Caenorhabditis elegans: one gene and its partners. The protein of the gene in region 3 interacts with the protein of the main gene of each other region in a pairwise test. Each region holds a gene or a part of one and is shown on either strand. Other genes may lie near its edges.

Evidence for each region.
Region 1: the proteins of pas-4 (region 3) and F47D12.3 interact in a two-hybrid assay, tested with the Caenorhabditis elegans proteins (2 studies listed by BioGRID).
Region 2: the proteins of pas-4 (region 3) and kel-8 interact in a two-hybrid assay, tested with the Caenorhabditis elegans proteins (2 studies listed by BioGRID).
Region 4: the proteins of pas-4 (region 3) and arl-13 interact in a two-hybrid assay, tested with the Caenorhabditis elegans proteins (one study listed by BioGRID).

The regions. Positions count from the first base shown.
Region 1 is NC_003281.10:6,296,749-6,299,886, forward strand, and holds F47D12.3 (BTB/POZ domain-containing protein), read left to right. Parts: upstream 1-1,712; 5' UTR 1,713-1,743; coding exon 1,744-1,983; intron 1,984-2,393; coding exon 2,394-2,576; 3' UTR 2,577-2,626; downstream 2,627-3,138. Other genes in the region: putative WD repeat-containing protein F47D12.9, read right to left, coding at 3,049-3,138.
Region 2 is NC_003283.11:2,669,466-2,674,516, forward strand, and holds the start of kel-8 (BTB domain-containing protein), read left to right. Parts: upstream 1-1,998; coding exon 1,999-2,058; intron 2,059-3,520; exon of another isoform or gene 3,521-3,535; coding exon of another isoform or gene 3,536-3,582; intron 3,583-3,630; coding exon of another isoform or gene 3,631-4,111; intron 4,112-4,164; coding exon of another isoform or gene 4,165-4,327; intron 4,328-4,386; coding exon of another isoform or gene 4,387-4,508; exon of another isoform or gene 4,509-4,702; intron 4,703-5,051. Other genes in the region: W02G9.4 (CUB domain-containing protein), read left to right, coding at 362-515, 602-721; thum-1 (THUMP domain-containing protein), read left to right, coding at 3,536-3,582, 3,631-4,111, 4,165-4,327, 4,387-4,508. UniProt on the Caenorhabditis elegans protein: Substrate-specific adapter of a BCR (BTB-CUL3-RBX1) E3 ubiquitin ligase complex that regulates degradation of glutamate receptors in neurons. The BCR(kel-8) ubiquitin ligase complex mediates ubiquitination and subsequent degradation of rpy-1.
Region 3 is NC_003279.8:8,726,660-8,730,290, forward strand, and holds pas-4 (Proteasome subunit alpha type-7), read right to left. Parts: upstream 1,829-3,631; coding exon 1,730-1,828; intron 1,469-1,729; coding exon 1,217-1,468; intron 1,171-1,216; coding exon 874-1,170; intron 794-873; coding exon 680-793; 3' UTR 559-679; downstream 1-558. Other genes in the region: rpb-3 (DNA-directed RNA polymerase RpoA/D/Rpb3-type domain-containing protein), read left to right, coding at 2,110-2,232, 2,287-2,421, 2,469-2,594, 2,747-2,994, 3,044-3,132, 3,178-3,305; C36B1.14 (Cysteine-rich PDZ-binding protein), read left to right, coding at 3,500-3,631. UniProt on the Caenorhabditis elegans protein: The proteasome is a multicatalytic proteinase complex which is characterized by its ability to cleave peptides with Arg, Phe, Tyr, Leu, and Glu adjacent to the leaving group at neutral or slightly basic pH.
Region 4 is NC_003279.8:2,064,004-2,069,638, reverse strand, and holds arl-13 (ADP-ribosylation factor-like protein 13B), read right to left. Parts: upstream 3,922-5,635; 5' UTR 3,891-3,921; coding exon 3,823-3,890; intron 2,936-3,822; coding exon 2,865-2,935; intron 2,805-2,864; coding exon 2,668-2,804; intron 2,464-2,667; coding exon 2,401-2,463; intron 1,602-2,400; coding exon 1,494-1,601; intron 1,395-1,493; coding exon 1,329-1,394; intron 1,283-1,328; coding exon 1,187-1,282; intron 1,135-1,186; coding exon 812-1,134; exon of another isoform or gene 771-811; coding exon 590-770; 3' UTR 545-589; downstream 1-544. Other genes in the region: rplp-1 (Large ribosomal subunit protein P1), read left to right, coding at 126-296, 346-510; moag-4 (Modifier of protein aggregation 4), read right to left, coding at 4,260-4,406, 4,470-4,571; rpb-10 (DNA-directed RNA polymerases I, II, and III subunit RPABC5), read right to left, coding at 5,080-5,189, 5,241-5,334. UniProt on the Caenorhabditis elegans protein: Cilium-specific protein required to control the microtubule-based, ciliary axoneme structure. Required for normal sensory cilium function. May act by maintaining the association between IFT subcomplexes A and B.

The DNA of each region.
Region 1 (3,138 bases), on a different chromosome or scaffold from region 3:
CAGAATGTACGTTTTGAGTATATTTTACAAAAAACATAAAAACCAAAACTGTTGCTCCGCTTTTAATTTGCTCTGAAATATTAAACATGAAAAATATACACAAAAAAGTATGCTCAACATAAAAAAAGTTCAAAAAATATTTTGTGACTATAACAACAAAATATTTTTTATAAAGAGATTGTAAACATTTCAAACGTTTCAAATGCAATAAAAAAATTTTAATTTTAGATTTTGAGATTGAAAAATGTTGTCCTCTAATTAGTTGTCCTCTGGAAAGAGTTGGCTAAGACGCCTTTGGTCGTAAAAATTTTTAGTCCTTTTTGACGTCACACCATATCAAAATACGGTTGTATTATTTTATGTTTTTACAGTCCGATTGGAAACACATGCATATAAAACCGTTCTTACTAGGCAAGTTTCCGAAATTTTCAAACCAACTTTAGCAACATCTAATATAATAATTTCTTTATGTGCTTTTACAAATCGCATCTAACTGTGATATCTGATTCTGATTGCAAAATGTGAGTGTATAAAGGATTTTTTTATTCGGATCGAACTCTAGTTAGAGTACAGTATATCCAAATTTTCTGTTCAGTGAGATCAAGATATATGTATCTATCTATTTTTTCAAAATGAAAAAAAGAAAACAAATGAGTTTTACTATTTCTTATCAACCGAAGCCATAAATTTCGCTTTGCTTTTTTCAATCTTTTTTCCAATTTTTCGTGCAATCCAACGTACTTGTAATCTGGTTCGTCCATCTATTTCATCCCAAGGGAATCAAGTGTCGAATCATCAAACTCCGCCCATCTTTCCACCCATCCCCACCAGTTGAATAAGAATATGCTCATATGAGAAAAGTGTCTCGAATGCTCACTCATAAAACATGCAATTCTCTTTTGTTTTAATCTAATTATATCTGTTAGAATAATGAAAAAGACATTTTTCGGATAAAAAATTGAGAATAATTGAAAAGAAAGATGATGGTTGGGAAGAATACGATGATGGTGATGGAGTGCGTGTCTTTTCAAAAATTCTTATTCCTCATCTCGTCATTTTCTCTTCTTTTCTTCCAAAAAAATCGAGTATTCTTCTTTGTTGAGCTTCTCCTCCATCCCAAAAAAGTAGAGCAACAAGACGAGAAAAATGTTCTCAAACAAATACATTCATTTGTGTATATGTCGAGTGTTTGGAAGGACACTCTTCCTTTTCTAACTGCTTACTTGTTCCCATTTCTTTTCTGGGATTTTTAGGTTTCTTTGATTTTCGTTATAGAGCTGACTTTGTGGTTCTTAGAATATTGAAATTTATGACAAAATCTGATCGTTTTTTTTCTGGGCTTTAATGTTTTTAGAGATACCAATTATTCATTTTTTCGTACTTTCCAGCTTTCCACTTACTTTCTTTTTTTCTCATTCTATATAAACTAGATAAATGTTTTCCCATTTTCTATTTATGTTTCCTTCCTCTCAATTCTTATAGAATCAACAAATTGACCAATATTTCAAGAACTCTCTCTCACTCACTTACTTTTTACTTTTCCTACCTACAACTGCTCTTCGTCGAGAACACAACTTGTCTAGAAAAAGTGACACTTCTCTCCAAACTTCTCACTTCCGAATTTGAATTGCAAATTTGTGCTCAATGAGCACCATTTCTCCCCTCGTCCCACTGGGAATAATTTGTTGTTCCGAAATTTTGATTCTTTGCAGCCAACGACGTCATTCAGCTTCTCTTCCAAAAATGGTCAACGAGCTGTCGTTCAACTGTGAGGACGCATGGCTTAACCTTTTTGTTGGTGGAGAAATGTATCCAGTTCAAGTAAAAACTCTTATGAATCCAACAACCTGTGGATCTTATTTTCGGGATGTGGTTAAAGTATCTGATGCAGCAATAAAGGTTCGAGGAGTTCAATGGGATACTGCACCAAATCATATCAAGTTTCGAGTCGATATTGATAGAGATGGAGTTCTTTTTCGACATGTTAGTATTTCAATTTGAACATTTTCATTAAGTACATAGTTGGTGACCTCGTTGATTAGCACATGTTTTACACATACCGAATAAGAAAACTTATTTACCAAATATTTTGCAATTTTTTTCGGTCACTCAAAAACGGTGCCTCACCAAGAGCGAAATACTTTTAAACGCAAACAGGTGCCCCTTTAAATCTACAGTAACACGTGCCTTGTTTCGAAACTTCGACGCACATTTTTGGCCTCTTCGATTGAAAATATTTATTTCTTGGCAAGAGCAGGAACCGTATTTTGAGGGAAATATCAGAAAATTAACAAAATTCAGTCTCTGCTCAATGAGCACCTCTAAAAAGTTCGCCCGAATGACAATCAAACAAAATAAGTTTGTACGTGAAAAATAATATTTTCCATTTCCAGGTGCTCCAATATCTCAGAAATGGAAAACTTACAAGCCTCCCCGATGATATTTTCACTCTTGAGTCCCTAGTCGCCGAGGCAGAGTTTTTCGGTCTCGAAAAATATCGTGAAATGCTTAAAAAGAAGTTGTGGAAGTTGACTGGCAAACGACAGTACTACGCGTGCTATGAGGATTCTGATTAAAGTGGTAGCTAGAATCAATTTTATTATCCAATAAATGATAAAGATGACAATTTAGATTTTAATAAATAGAAAATGTCTGAAATCAAAAATCTACCAGAGAAGACAACACGGATTGGGGGAAGAAACTAGACAGGTTGTAGCGGAATGAGTTAAAAATGAGAAAATTATATGATAATGAGAAGAAACTTAAAGAGAAAAACGGTTTAAAATGGCATATCGAGACCGGGACAGGCATTCATACTATCACCTTCTTTCTTTCTTTTTTTTTGAGTTCATTTTTTAAAGTTTTGACCGGCAACGAGACAAACGGGGAGAGAGAGACAAGAGAGATAGAGAAAGGGAGAAAATAAAAAAGATAGTTACATGATGAGTTGACTACATTTTTACAATTTGTTCACTGAATTCTGAAATTAAAGAGAAGGGTAAATACTGACTGATTCTAACAAGATTAAGTTGAACTTGATGATGATGGTTAGAGCTCCAATGAGTGAACTCTCATGCTATCACCAACTGCCATTATGATAGCTGAATTCCCTGGTCGACCACCCCAACAATCCGAGTA
Region 2 (5,051 bases), on a different chromosome or scaffold from region 3:
ACCCCGACCATATCTCCCACTGACCCTAAACCAACATACCTTCAAAAGACAAAAACTGAACTTTGCCTAAACTACAGTAATTCTACAGTAATCCTACAGTACCTCTACAGTACCCCGACCTTATCCCCCACTGACCCTGAACCAATACCCCTTCAAAAGACAAAAACTCAATTTTGCCTAAACTACAGAAATTCTACAGTACCCGACCATATCCCCCACTGACCCTAAACCAATATCCCTTCAAAAGACAAAAACTCAAGTGTTCCTAAACTACAGTAATCCTACAATACTCCTACAGTACCCCGACCATATCCCCCACTGATCTTAATCCAAGGATACTATAAAATAACCATTTTTTCAGTTATTCCGGAAAGAATATGCCAGCTCCAATAACATCGACGAGCAACACTTTGTACCTGTGCTTCTCCTCAGACTTGGTCACCAATTTCTCGGGATTCTCCGGTCTGTATACCTCATTTGTCTCGAACAACTTCAAGCGCGGAGTACTACCACAGGTGAGAAAAGATCTAGGCCGGCTTGGAAGCAGGCAGGCATTTTTGTGCCTAGGTACCTAGGGCTTCACTAAAAACTAATCTTTCAGTCCCTGACAACGGATTCAGTGGCGATTCGTCGTGACAAGAACATTCTCGACTGGCTCAAAAAGAAGGCCGAGGAGAAGAAGCTTATTGGAGCTGCTGCAGCACCGGTTATCTCTATCTAGTAGTCCCCCGAAATTCTCAATATGTAATGAATTATTATTTCTTCGCAATTATTTTTTGCCGCTTACTGTATGAAAGTGAAAGGAAAATTAGAAAATTAGTGATGGGGGGGGGGGGGGGGTGATAAGAGAAATCTGGGTTGAAGGGGGAGGGGTAGGGCGATAAAAAGGGAAATTTTAGGAGGAAGAGAAGCTGGTTTTTAAAAAATAAAATTTTTGTTCTATGCCCGGACGCGGGAAAAATTTCACATTGATCTACAGTAGATCATCATCACGGGCTTCTAGTAGCGGTTTTTCGCGCTCCATTGAAAATCGGTGAGCGGAAATTGCAGTTCGGCAAAGGAAGGTTTCAAATTCGGCAATTTGCCATTTTGCCGATTTGCCGGAAATTTTGAATTCCGGCAAATTTCACGATTAGCCGGAAATTTTCAACTCCGGCAATTTGCCAGTTTGCCGATTTGCCGGAAATTTTCAATTCCGGCAACTCCCCGATTTGCCGGAAATTGTCAATTCCGGCGAGTTCCCGATTTGCCGGAAATTTTCTATTCCGCCAGTTTGCCGATGTGCAGGAAATTTTCAATTATGGCAATTTGCCGATTTGCCGGAAATTTTAAATTCCGGCAAATTTGCCAGTTTGTCCTAAATTGTCAATTCCGGCGATTTCTTGATTTGCCGGACATTTTCATTTCCGGTAATGTGCCAATTTGCCGAAAATTTTAAATTCCGGCATTTTGCCGATTTGCCGAAAATTTTCAATTCCGGCAAAAATCGACCCCAGCCGTGGCCGAGTCAAAATGGCCTGAATATAATCAAATGTGCTCCAACGCACCAGCCGACTGTGACGGACATTATTCAGGGCTTGACCTACAGAAATCGTTTGACCTACTGGCGCCTCATTATAAACTCATATGACGTCACAAATTTCAATAATTTCCCGCGCTTTCTGGAGGTCAAAGTGCCCATCCTCAACAAAACATCCCGTTCAGGGTCCTATCCCCAAGTCTCCAGACCCTAAAGCCTACAATCATAAAGCTTGTCACTAAATAATTGCCATGTTTTTGTCTGCCAATCAACTGACTGTCCCCCTCCTGCTGTGGTATATTCAGAAGATACCAGAAGCTGTAACAAAAGACGCAGGACGTACAAGACAGGTTGAGAGAGACACTGTGGGGGCGCAGACACACACAAAAAAATCAGGGGGCGGGAAGTGAATCGAGAGAGGAAGAAGCTGGCATCTAGAATACCAGACTGACAGGCGACACACACCACGAAAAAAAAACATGTGGACCTTCAACAGATCTACCGCGGAGGCGCCAACTATGCCGTCAAGCTCTAATACGGTAGGTGGTAACTATTTTACTTTTTCTGGAATTTCATTTTGTAAGCTACCACGGATTTCTGGCTTCCCTCTCATAAATTGAAATGGAAGAGTTTGCCAAACTAGGCCATTTTGGCTCGGCCATAAGTGGGGTAGATTTACGGCGCGTTGCGTGTCGCGTCGCGGCTCGATTTTAGTTGTAAAACTAAGTCTATTTGTCCGTGTGGAGTACACGATTTTAACACGCGTTGTCCGCCGGGCGATTGTCAATGGAGCGCGAAAAATTCTCTGAGGAAAGACAGAACCCCGTGATTTTGGCCTAAAAATCATTAAAACAGGAAAATTGCCGAAATAACGGGGTTCTACCCTTCCTCATTGAATTTTTTGCGCTCCATTGATAATCGTCCGAAGGAAAACGCGTGGGTAAATCGTGTACTCCACACGGACAAATGCATTTAGTTTTACAACTAAAATCGAGCCGCGGCGCGACACTCAACTCGCCGTAAATCTACCCCAGTAATGGCCGAGCCAAAATGGCCTAGTTTGGCAAACTCTTCCATTTCAATTTATGAGGGTAATCAGAAATTCGTCATTTTGGCCTAAAAACACCAATTTGGCCTAAAAACATTAAAACCACGGGAAATTTGAAACAGGAAAAAAATGGCAAAAAATTCTTGGAAACCGGCGAAATCGGCATAACTAATCCAAAACGTTCGAATGTACTATTTTGCCGCCAAACACCTAGCGGGTCATGGTGCGGGGGCCGAGAATTTCCTATTGGCAGTGGAGCGCGTTTCCACGTGGATTTTTCTGCGTACCCATAATAGCCGCGTCACACAGTTAGTCACCCAATTTACTACCTAATTGCATGGCCTTTGTGTCGGAACTCGTTTTTTTCGTAATGTCGCAACACATGGTACATAGATAAAAATCTCGAGATAACCTATAGTTCAGTTCAAATGTGAAGCAAATTTACTGGTGAATCGGGAAAAAACTGGTAAATTGTTCGGGATATATACTTATTATACATCAAAAATTGCTCGAAAAATTGTGAATTTCAGCTTTTTTTTCAGGAAATATATATTTTCTAGAAGAAGAATACCGGAAAAAGGTGCGGGTCATTTTGCACGCCATCACGAAATTTTCGCAAATTCCAGCGTTTCCGTCAAAATAGTAAATGTATATTCAAAATTTTTTCATCTAATTATCAAGTGAGGCTGCTCTTTTCAAGTTTCGCTGTAAAGAACCGCCTCTTTTTCGTAGTTTGTTTCACATAAAGTGGTGGTGACTCTGCAATTAAAGGTGTGCAAACGCGCTCTGTGGTTACGTGCAAGAGAGAAGAGATTTAGAGAAGTTGGAGGGAATATTAATTGTTTTTTTTTGTTTTTAATTGTTTTTATGTGTTTTTTTCGCATTTTTCGTTGATTTTTCGTTAAAAAACTTCAAAAACAATAATTTTCATTCAAAAATTTCAATTTTTCCAGAAAAAATCACTGAAAATGGCAGATAACGACAGAAAACGAAAGCATAACCGATGGAATCAAAAGTGAGAGCTAAAATTTGAGAAAAAAAAACTATTCTAAGACAATTTCAGAGTTAAACAAAAATCTGTGGAAGCCGGAGTGACCGGACTATTCTTTTCCTGCGAAGGCCACGAAAAGCAGGCCCTACAAGAAGCCTACAGTATTATTGACGAGCTTCTCGAAGACCCGGCGAATGGAATCTCTCTTAAAGCACCAGAAGCTGCTCCACAAGGCTCAGAAGCACCCGGAAATCCAGCAGAAGCTGAAGATTCCGATGAAGACATTGCCGATGCGTTGAAAAAGGCTTGTGATGATCAGAGGCAGCCGAAGCCGGGAAATTTCGTGAAAAAAGAGAGAAGATGCATTCAAAGACCGACGGGAGTGAAGAATTGCATTTTTGTGAGCGTGAAAAACGCGAATATTCAACTTTTAGCCGAAAAAATGGTCGAGCTGACGCAAAAAGCTCCGCGTTGCAGGTTTTTGCAACGAGTTTACCCGGTGGAGCATACTTTAGCTGTGGATCTTTCAAAAATGAATGAAGTTTTGATGAAGGTGCTTTTATTTAATTAAATTAATTAATAAAATAAAAAAAAGTAATTTTTCAGGTAATCTCCGACACATTGAAGGCAGACGGCACTGGCAAACTTCCCACGTATTCCGTGGAATTTAAAGCGAGAAATAACGATTCTGTGGCGAAGAATTCCGTGCTCCAAATGGTCGATGACGCCGTTTGTGCGCTGGCTCCGACTGCGAGAGTTAGCCTAAATCGTTAGTGTCTCTAAAAATCTGAAAAAATTTCAAAAAAATCAAAAAATCAATGATTCCAGACGCCGACGTCACATTCTTCGTTCAAGTATCTCGTACGACAATTATGGTTGGCGTGTGCCGGCAATTTTACGACCGCCGAAAGTATAGTCTTCGTGCGACGCCGGCAGCGGCAGCGACATAAGTCTCTTCTTCGACCTTTTTCCCCCTTTCACCCAGCGCCTCATTGGCTCAGTGGCAGAGCGTCTGTCTAGTAAACAGAAGGTCGCTGGTTCGATTCCAGCATGAGGCACCGAATTTTTTTTGTTTTTTTCATTTGTTCTGTTAAAATACTTTGGCTATTTATTTGTTAAAATACATGAAATTTGAGATTCGATTGTTAATTATTTTTTAAATGCATGGTATCTATAACTGTGACGTGTCAAAAACTCAGGTCGACCCTTGCTCGCGCGCGTCTCATGCACAACCGAGCAAGAAAAAAAACGTGCAACCAACCCGAAAATCTAGCTCACCCGTTCTGCGCACTCCCCAAAATCAACACTATTTCGCTCTCTCGCAGCTCTTCCAAATTGTCAAACAAACCGAGTAGTTACACGCACCCCCCGCCGAAACTCGGGAGCATTCAATCTGGCCTGGTTTTCCAGTATGCTGAAATTTTTTGGACTATTGTAAATTGTTTGTGAAAAAGGTCTCGCCACGAACGAAATATTTTTACAATAATCATTTG
Region 3 (3,631 bases):
AGTTTATTATATAAAAATTAGATCTTATTAATAGATCTAATAAAATTAATAGATCTAATATTTGAAAAAAAAAGTAGCCGTAGGGCAATGGCATCTTGTAAGTCTAGGAGGAGACTTTTGAAGGCTTATAAATGAAATATATTCAAATTTGCCTCCTTTCCCTCTTTTTGTACCGCTCACTTTTATTCGGAATTTCACCGAAAAGGTCCTCTGCTTGGGAGAGGAAATGTATAGAACAATTTGCATAACCACTGCCACTTCAATCGGTTCATCGAAGAATTTTGAATGAAAAATGAACTTCAGGAAAAAAAATGACTGTGATTATTATTGCAGAGATTATGCGTTCTATTCGAAAATGTAGGTTAACTTATAAAACAAATCTCATTTAAGGATACCATATTTCAGAAAGCTAGAAGTTTCAGAAACCATTGCTCGCCGAATTGGAATTTTCTTTATATATATTTTTCTCTTTTTTTCAAATGAACCCCACAATTATCTTGTCATTTCGAATATATAGCTTCTTTCTTTTCATGGTTTTAAAGGAATTTCGAAGATTTTAGGGAAAACTTTTTCATTCCCGTCAATAAAGATGAATAAAATAAATTAGGTTTTGAAAAGGGGAGCAGATAACTGGGAAATCAATACACACGGATAATGGACAGAAGACAAAAGTTCGAATCTACTTCTTCTTGGATGCAGCCTCTTCAGCCTCAGCAGCCACACGTTCTGTCTCAACAACCTTCAGGAGAGCCTCGATTTCTTCAGTTGACAATACACGTTGCTGCAGCTCATCCTAAAAAATTAAAATTAAGGACCATCTTCAATTTAAAAAAATGTTATTACTGAAAATAATCTCAGGTGGAAATCACTTACATTAACTTTTTTCATGACTGCAATCTCGATATTTTGTGATCCTGGTGGTACGACCTGAGCCAGCGACTTTACAACCAATTTAAGAGTGGTAGCTTCGTCGACAGTATTTTCCTCGCTGTATTGCTCCTCAAGGTATTCACGCACTGGTTTCTCTCCTCTTCCAGTCGCGTTGGCAACGTACTCGTAGTAAGCTCCAGATGGCTCGGTTTTGAAAAGACGTGGAGTTCCGTCATGATCGAATCCTCCAATGAGCATTGAAATTCCGAATGGGCGACGTCCTGGAGATTGTGTGAAGCGCTGAAAATCAGTAAAAGTTATGCTTGCATAAATAAAATATTTATACCTGCTTCGTGTTTGCAATATATCTGGAGATATAGGCAACGGTAACTGGATCTTCAAGAGTCAACTTGTACGACTGGCACTCGATACGAGCACGATCAACAAGAACACGAGCATCTGCGGACAATCCAGCAAAAGCGAGCATCACATGGTCGTCGATCATATGAATTTTACGGATTGTGCGGTCATCTTGAAGAGCTGGAATTGACTTCTTCTCAACACCGATAACAATGCAATCCTTTCCGCGAACACCGACCTGAAACATTCATAATTATAACTTGAGGTTTTAAAAATAACCGTATTATTTTGAACCATAATTCGGGAAATTTTAGATTTTTAGATAGATAATATCAATCATCTACATTGAATTTTTTGATTTATTTTTAAATATAAAACGATAAATAGATCTAAAATCTTCTTGAATCGGGTGCTTCAATTCTAGCTGATATCATATTCATATGAAAGTGCAACTCATATAATTTTCTGCCAACTGATTTTCATCAGGGGAACCACTCACCGCAGTCGAACCCTTCTTGACAGCTTCCTGGGCATATTCCACTTGGAACAAGTGTCCATCAGGGGAGAAGATAGTGATAGCACGATCGTATCTGTTCATCTGAAAAATTTTAAAATTTGAAATAACTCTGAACCATTTTTAACTTTAAAACGAAAAAATAATTAAAAAATGATTATTTGAAATTGTGCAGTGACAAAAGCGCACAGTTGAAATGAGTGTTACCGTACTTCGCTTACCAACCGAGAACCTGAAACGACACTCCGAAATAACGAATGTGCGTGTTGTTTAGCGACGTTTTGTTTTGAATTTCTGTTCGACTTAAATGTTTTCAATTCAATAATTAGATTTTTCATTTTTCCTTATAATAATCATTTTTAGTAATGCCGTACGCAAATCAACCTAACATCGAGGTTACCGAACTGACAAATGATATAATCAAGTTTGTACTGTGGGACACTGATTTGAGTGTCGCAAATTCACTGAGACGAGTTTTCATGGCAGAAGTGAGTTGTTTCCTGTTTACCATTACTCTTTCTATATTTTTAATTACATTTCAGGTGCCAACCATAGCTATTGATTGGGTTCAAATTGAAACTAACACTTCTGTCCTCCACGACGAATTTATTGCACATCGCATGGGTTTGATTCCGTTCATATCTGATTATCATGTCGAAAAAATGCAATACACCAGAGTAAGATAGGGTTGAATCTTTCACAACTTTTTAAATGTTGGTTTTAGGATTGTGAATGTGCCGAGTTCTGCGATGAGTGTTCGATACCGTTCATTCTGCAGATGAAATGTAAAGATGAAGCTACTTTGGCTGTTACTACCGAGCATCTAATGCCAATGCATAATTTAGACACGGTAAATTTAAAAAAATGCAACTCATTTTTTTTTAATGGAGTGAATTAAATTTCAATAATAATATTAATAACGTTTAAATAAAATCGATGAGCAATCTTATTAGGGTCCGTACTTCACTACATTTGATAAATATTTGAATTGGAATTTTACAGACCGTCCGACCAGCTTGTGGAAAAGCACTACGTGAGCGTGGATCGACCCGTGACGAATTTCACAACAGAGAAGAGATTCTGATTGTAAAATTGCGTAAGGGACAAGAGCTTAACCTAAAAGCCTATGTTAAAAAGGGTTTCGGAAAGGAACATGCAAAATGGAATCCCACCTGTGGAGTTGCATTTGAATATGATCCAGACAATGCTCTCCGACATACAATTTATCCGAATGTTGAGGAATGGCCAAGGTAAGAACTATTATCAGTATTTTGTGAATTTCGTACATTTTTTTTGCAGAAGCGATCATTCATCTTTACCAGAAGACAGCACTGAAAAGGAGGCACCATTCGAGCCGGACAACAAGCCTAACAAGTTCTGGTTCTCTAGTAAGTCACGGTCAGATATTTTGCTTATAATTTTAAATGTTTCAGTCGAAGGAACTGGTGCTCTTCCAGCACAGCGAATCGTGACAATGGGAATCGGAATCTTGAAGAGAAAACTGGAGGAACTAAATATGGCTCTTTCAAATGAACTTCAAGCTCATGCCCAGCAGCAGTAAACTATTTGGATCTCTAATTTATTTACGTTATTATTAACTCTTCTCGTTGATTTTCGTATCTCTCCTGTTATCATGAATGAATTAAATTTGATTGACAACCTCAGAATGTTTCTACAACATGTCGTTCGAGCATCTTAATATTTCATTTTGTAAAAAAACATACATCTTACAATACGGCTTTTTTTTCGCAGAATATGGTGTGTGGAGACTGTGAGAAGAAACTTACAAAAATCGTCGGAGTTGATCCTTACCGAAATAAAAAAGTTAATCGAAACGCTGATGGAAGTGGCCCAAAAACAGTAACTACAAAAAATCGTCTGATTGGA
Region 4 (5,635 bases), 6.7 Mb from region 3:
CATGCTTCATATCTTATTGTTTTCTTACCCTGGTCACTTTGTGGCATTAATACTTTCTTTCAGCGTTCTATCAAACGTTTGTTCTCTTTGGAGCTAAGGCAAACCGCGCAACTTACGATTGAAGAATGGCTTCGAACCAAGAACTGGCTTGCGTCTACGCTGCTCTCATCCTTCAAGATGACGAGGTCGCCATCACCGGCGAGAAGATCGCTACCCTTCTCAAGGCCGCCAACGTCGAGTTCGAGCCATACTGGCCAGGACTCTTCGCCAAGGCTCTCGAGGGAGTTGATGTGAAGGTAAGGATTTCTCATAAGTATATTCAAGTTTCACCCCGATTGTTTTCAGAACCTCATCACTTCTGTCTCTTCCGGAGCCGGATCTGGACCAGCTCCAGCCGCCGCCGCTGCTGCTCCAGCTGCTGGAGGAGCCGCCCCAGCTGCCGAGACCAAGAAGAAGGAGGAGCCAAAGGAGGAATCCGATGACGACATGGGCTTCGGTCTCTTCGACTAAAGATCTTGTTATTTGTTTTCAATAAATCTGTTAACAACACCAAGAAAGTGTTTATGGCTTCAAAAGTGAAAAAAGGAGGTTATTTTGGCACTACTCGATTGTTCAGAACGTTTTGAATCCTTTGTATCCGGCTATATTGTCGACCAGGCGCTTTTGGTGGCAAGAAATAGTTGTCTTTCAGAATGATAGTTGGCTCTTCTTTAACACTGTTAGATTCCGGCGAAACAGGCTTCGTGCTTGTTTGTGAGATTCTGCAAAAACTGAAACAATCGGATTTCTCAAGTAAATTAATGTGACTCACTTTACAGGATCTCGTGGAGTTCCTGTTTCAGGCGTGCTCTGAATGATATCTGATGGTATTGTCGAGCTGGCAAGCGACATCGGCGGACTTTCTTCAATATGAACCGACGCGGACTTCGGATCCGATGGAGGATCAGGCGGGATCGGTGGTTGCACAGGTGGTTGGTTCCGAAGTTCCAGGCCAGCCACGTCGGCTTTCAAAGCATCGTGCTCCACTTTCATTTGCATCAGTCTCCGTTGTTCTTTGGCTTCTTCCTGACGGATCCTCAACGCCAACTCGGCGGTTTTAACACCCTCGGATAATTCCACATAGTGCTCAGAAATCTGAAAAAAAGGAAAATTTTAAAAATTCTAGAAAATGAAATGGGAATCCTACAGAATCGATGAATCTGACAAACTGCTCCTGATACTCATTTCTATCCTTTTTCGCCCTCGCCATCACCGTCAATGTGGCACTTTTTATGTTATCAAGCTGAAAATCGGTGGAATTTTGAATTTCTACCTTGAAGCGCACTCACATATCCGTTATACTTGTTGAAATGCGAGAAAAGTACGATTTTGTGTTGTCCCGCCTGGATTTTAGTCTGTGAAAAGAGGTTTGCGTGATAGAGAAGGAACACTGGGGGATGAAGAAGACGGGGACAGTTTACGGGAAATTATTTAAGTCACTCAAAGTCACTCACTTCATTCGAAATTTCCACGTCATCAAATTCTCGATTGTTCTGATTGTTGAGGAGCAGAAAAATTGGCTTTTTCTGCACATGTGGATTGCTGGTTAGGGAGTGGAGAGCCTGGAGAATGATAATTTTTTAAAAGTAATTTATTACCGAGACTTGAAATTTTGACCGAAAATACGGTATCCGGTCTCGACACGACAAATTTCTGTGAAATGCGAAAAGGTGTGCGCCTTTAAAGATTACTGTGGTTTTAAACGTTCTTTGCCCGATTTTTCATAGTTTTTCGAAAATATATGTGGTTTTAATTGTTTTATCACGAATTTCTGGCTTCCCTAGGAATTAATGGAATTTCCTCATAAATTGAAATGGAAGAGTTTGCCGAACTAGGCCAGTTTGGCTCGGCCATATCTGGGGTGGATCTACGGCGCGTTGCGTGTCGCATCGCGGCTCGGTTTTAGTTGTAAAACTACCGTATTTTTTCTATTAATATAGCTGCAATACTATTTTTCGATGGTCTTCCCGCTTGCAATACTAATAGGGAGTGCAAGACTATTAGGGAGTGCAATATTACACTCAAGATAAGAAAACTGCGTGGCGTGTACTGCAGAAAACCTCATATTTAGGCCCCGCCTTTTTCACTAATAGGGAGTGCAATACTAATTTTCGGAGGGTGTTCAAGGAGCAATACTAATAGGGAGTGCAAGTCTAATAGGGAGGCCATATTAATAGAAGAAATACGGTAAATGAAATTACTGTACTTTTGCCTAAAAATTTTTAAAGGAGCACACCCGTTTTAGTTTTTTGCAAAAAGTTGTCGTGTCGAGACCGGATAGCGTATTTTGAGCCTAAAAATCTTATTTCATAACTTTTAGGAATAATTCATAATCCTTATCAATTTCGTAACTTCTCTCACCTCAATCGACTCGGTGAATGTCTCATCCGTTGAATAATCAATCACATAGATGATTCCGTGAACCTTAATTTATTTAGAATAATTATAATAATCACGGTTTGATCTACAAAAATGCGGGAATTTTTCTCCCAAAAAAATGTGACGTCAAAACGCTCTTAACCATGCGAAATCAGTCCCGCATTTTTTGTAGATCCACGTGTAATAAGAGTTTTCAAAAATTCTCCAGTGTGAAAGTGCGCCCTATCGCATGCACACACACACACACACCTCAGCATAATAATTGCTCCAAATTCCACGTATTCCCTTATCCCCGCCAACATCGTAGATCGTCAAATGAAAAGTCTCATCATACTCCATTTTCACTGTGGAGAACCCGTTGGTACGGAGCAAATCCCGCGGATCTTCTGGATTAAATTCAAATTTTAAAATAATTTCGGATTGAGCGACGGAGCGCACTTGCTTACCTCCCTTGAGAACTTTCAAAAATGTGGTTTTTCCGGCGCTTCCGATGCCAAAACATCCGAGTTTGATTTCTCTGAAAAAAAACCTATTGGGTCTCGGCACGATCTATGGGAATTCATCAAACTAAAAATATTGCTCAGATGCGGAAACTTGCGGATTTGCGTCTCGACACGACAATTTTTGTAAATTGCAAAACGGTGTGCGCCTTTAAAGAGTACTGTAATTTCTGGGTTTCGTTGATGTGTAATTCTCATGTGGGAAAATTGCTTTAAAACACGCATATGGCGTCACAATGACCGAATATCATGATAAAAAAATTCAAAAATTTTTTCTAGATTTTATATGATTTTTTGAAAATTGAAAAAATCTCAGTTTTCCCCTAATTCCTATTTGAATTTCCGCCAATTGAACTTGTTCGATGGAGCGCACTTGCATTATTTTTATTTATTTATTTTATTTTTCTTATTTTTCGGCCTATTTTCTTCATTTTTTTGTGTTTTTTATCGGAAAATGCGAGAAATAAACTAGAAAAATGCAAAATGCTTGTTAAAAAGTAACTGAAAATGCCTAAAACTGTAAAATATACTAATTTCAGGCTTGTCGTCGGAAATCATAATTTTACAGTTTTACGCCTTTTCAATTATTTTTTAACAAACATTCTGCAATTACCTTGTTTTGTCATTTTAATTTCCATTAAAAACGCAAAAAAAAAGAAAATCAGTGGAGAATAAATAAAATAAATGAATAAAAATAATTTTTAATATATTTTCATGGCAAAAATCGATCGGAAAATATTAAAAATAGCTGAATTTTCGACTTTAAATATAATTTTTTTTCCAAAAAACCTCGAATAAGGAAACATTTTTGGATTTTCCGTTTTACATCTTCAAAATTTCATAAAAAATGCTTTCAAGCAAACGATTTTCATTTAAAAAAATAAGCCTAAGAATATCGAATTACCGTCTGATAATAGGTGTACGATGGCAACAACAGCAGAAAATAGTTTCGAACCACGACTTTTCGGTCATTTCTTCTCACTTTCTACGCATTTCCTTGCGGTAAAGTGTGTGGTGTCGAAATCGAGGAGATTAGTTACGCAAGAAGTTGCTCTCGGCTTTCACGAGCGGCGGTTGCCATAGTTACCAGAGCCCGAGAGAGCACAAGAATTGTGGAGAGAAGCCGCGGGGTGGGAGGAAGAGATGAGGTGAGGCGGCGGCCGAAGAAGACAATCAGAAACTGGCTCTGATAATGATTAGGTTGGCGAGCTGCCAAGTGATCATACATTTTTCAGGAGAAGGAGACAGAGGCATTCATTTTTTTGGGAAACCCATACGATGTTTTTTTAAATACGAATAAAATAAAACAAAAATGATCAAAAAAAAGTGAGAATTAATCAATCACATCTTCAATGGGTCCACTTTGGCGACCTTCTTTGCGTTTGCAGCAGCTGCAGCGGCTTCGGCTTCTTTCTTGGCTGCCGCTTTCTCCTGCTTGATACGCATGACGTCAGCGTCGCGATTCATGCGAGCATCCATCGATAGACCCTGGAATATTTATTTGCAACTGGATATATATATGTGATTTGGAAATTTGAAATGAAAACTTACAGCATTTCCGTCTTGTCCAGAGGCTCCCTGGCGCTTCTTTTGATCGGCCAGTTTCTTTTGGTTCTTCTCACGAGCCAGATCTCTTTGATTTCCACGAGTCATTTTTGTTGGAGTTGTGCTGCTCAAAAACTGTGTTTCTCGGATCACACCGGAGCGCCGTCAGCGATGGACAAAGCCGCCGTATACGAGGTTTTCTGGAAGAAAAAAACAAAGAATCGATAAGAAAGTGTCGTGAACGCAGACCGTCTCGGTGACATAAATGACCGAGATTAGGAAATGCGCGGGATAAATGAGAGACGTCAGAATGATAGACAGTCTGACTAGCGGACACGTGGAACTTTTTGAAGGAAAACTTGTGGAAGGAGGTGTAGTTTAGGAAATTCTCAAATTCTCGCAAAATAATCACATCACATGGACAAATAAAGAATGAGCTGTGAACTCAATTATACAATATGACAAAAATTAAATTTAAAAAGCAAACTTGAATCAAATGTTTCATCAAATTTTGAGAAATTAGTGAAGAAAAAGAGGAAAAACGGTGGAAAAAAGTAAAAATTGAGATTCGGCCACAACAAAACAGAAAAACAACAACAATTGAAAGGGGCTCCGATTACTTTTCCAGCGGATGGTAGTTGAGAAGCTTCTCGATGAGATCCACGTGAGCCAGAAGCATTCTTCGGCAACAGTAGCGACGAAGACCGAGCGCGTCGAGAGCATCTCCTGAGAGAAACGAGATTTTTTTCATTCAGTAAATCCGAGAATTTTAAAAACCTTCACTGTATTCCGACTGCAAGAATCCGAGATACGTCTCCCACTTGTCGCCGATGACTTTGCCGCATGTGAAGCATCTGATTGGGATAATCATCTTGTGATTTTGCTGAAATTTTCGAAAATTGAAGATGAAAACTGCACTTTTTCGAGATTTTTGGTGAAGTTTTGAACGAAACACTTTTGCCACAAGCTAATTGTAAAGTTTTTGAAGAGAAACTTCAAGAAAATCAAGTTAAATCACAAAAAATGGGGGCAGAAATTCTAGAAATTGAAAATTGTTCAAAATACGCAATGCGCGTGAAATATGGTGTTTTCAGTGCATTTGTCACAGCGGTGTTTGCACAGTTGTCGACCGTAGTTGCAGCAAAGATTTTAAAATTGGTTTTCCAATTTTC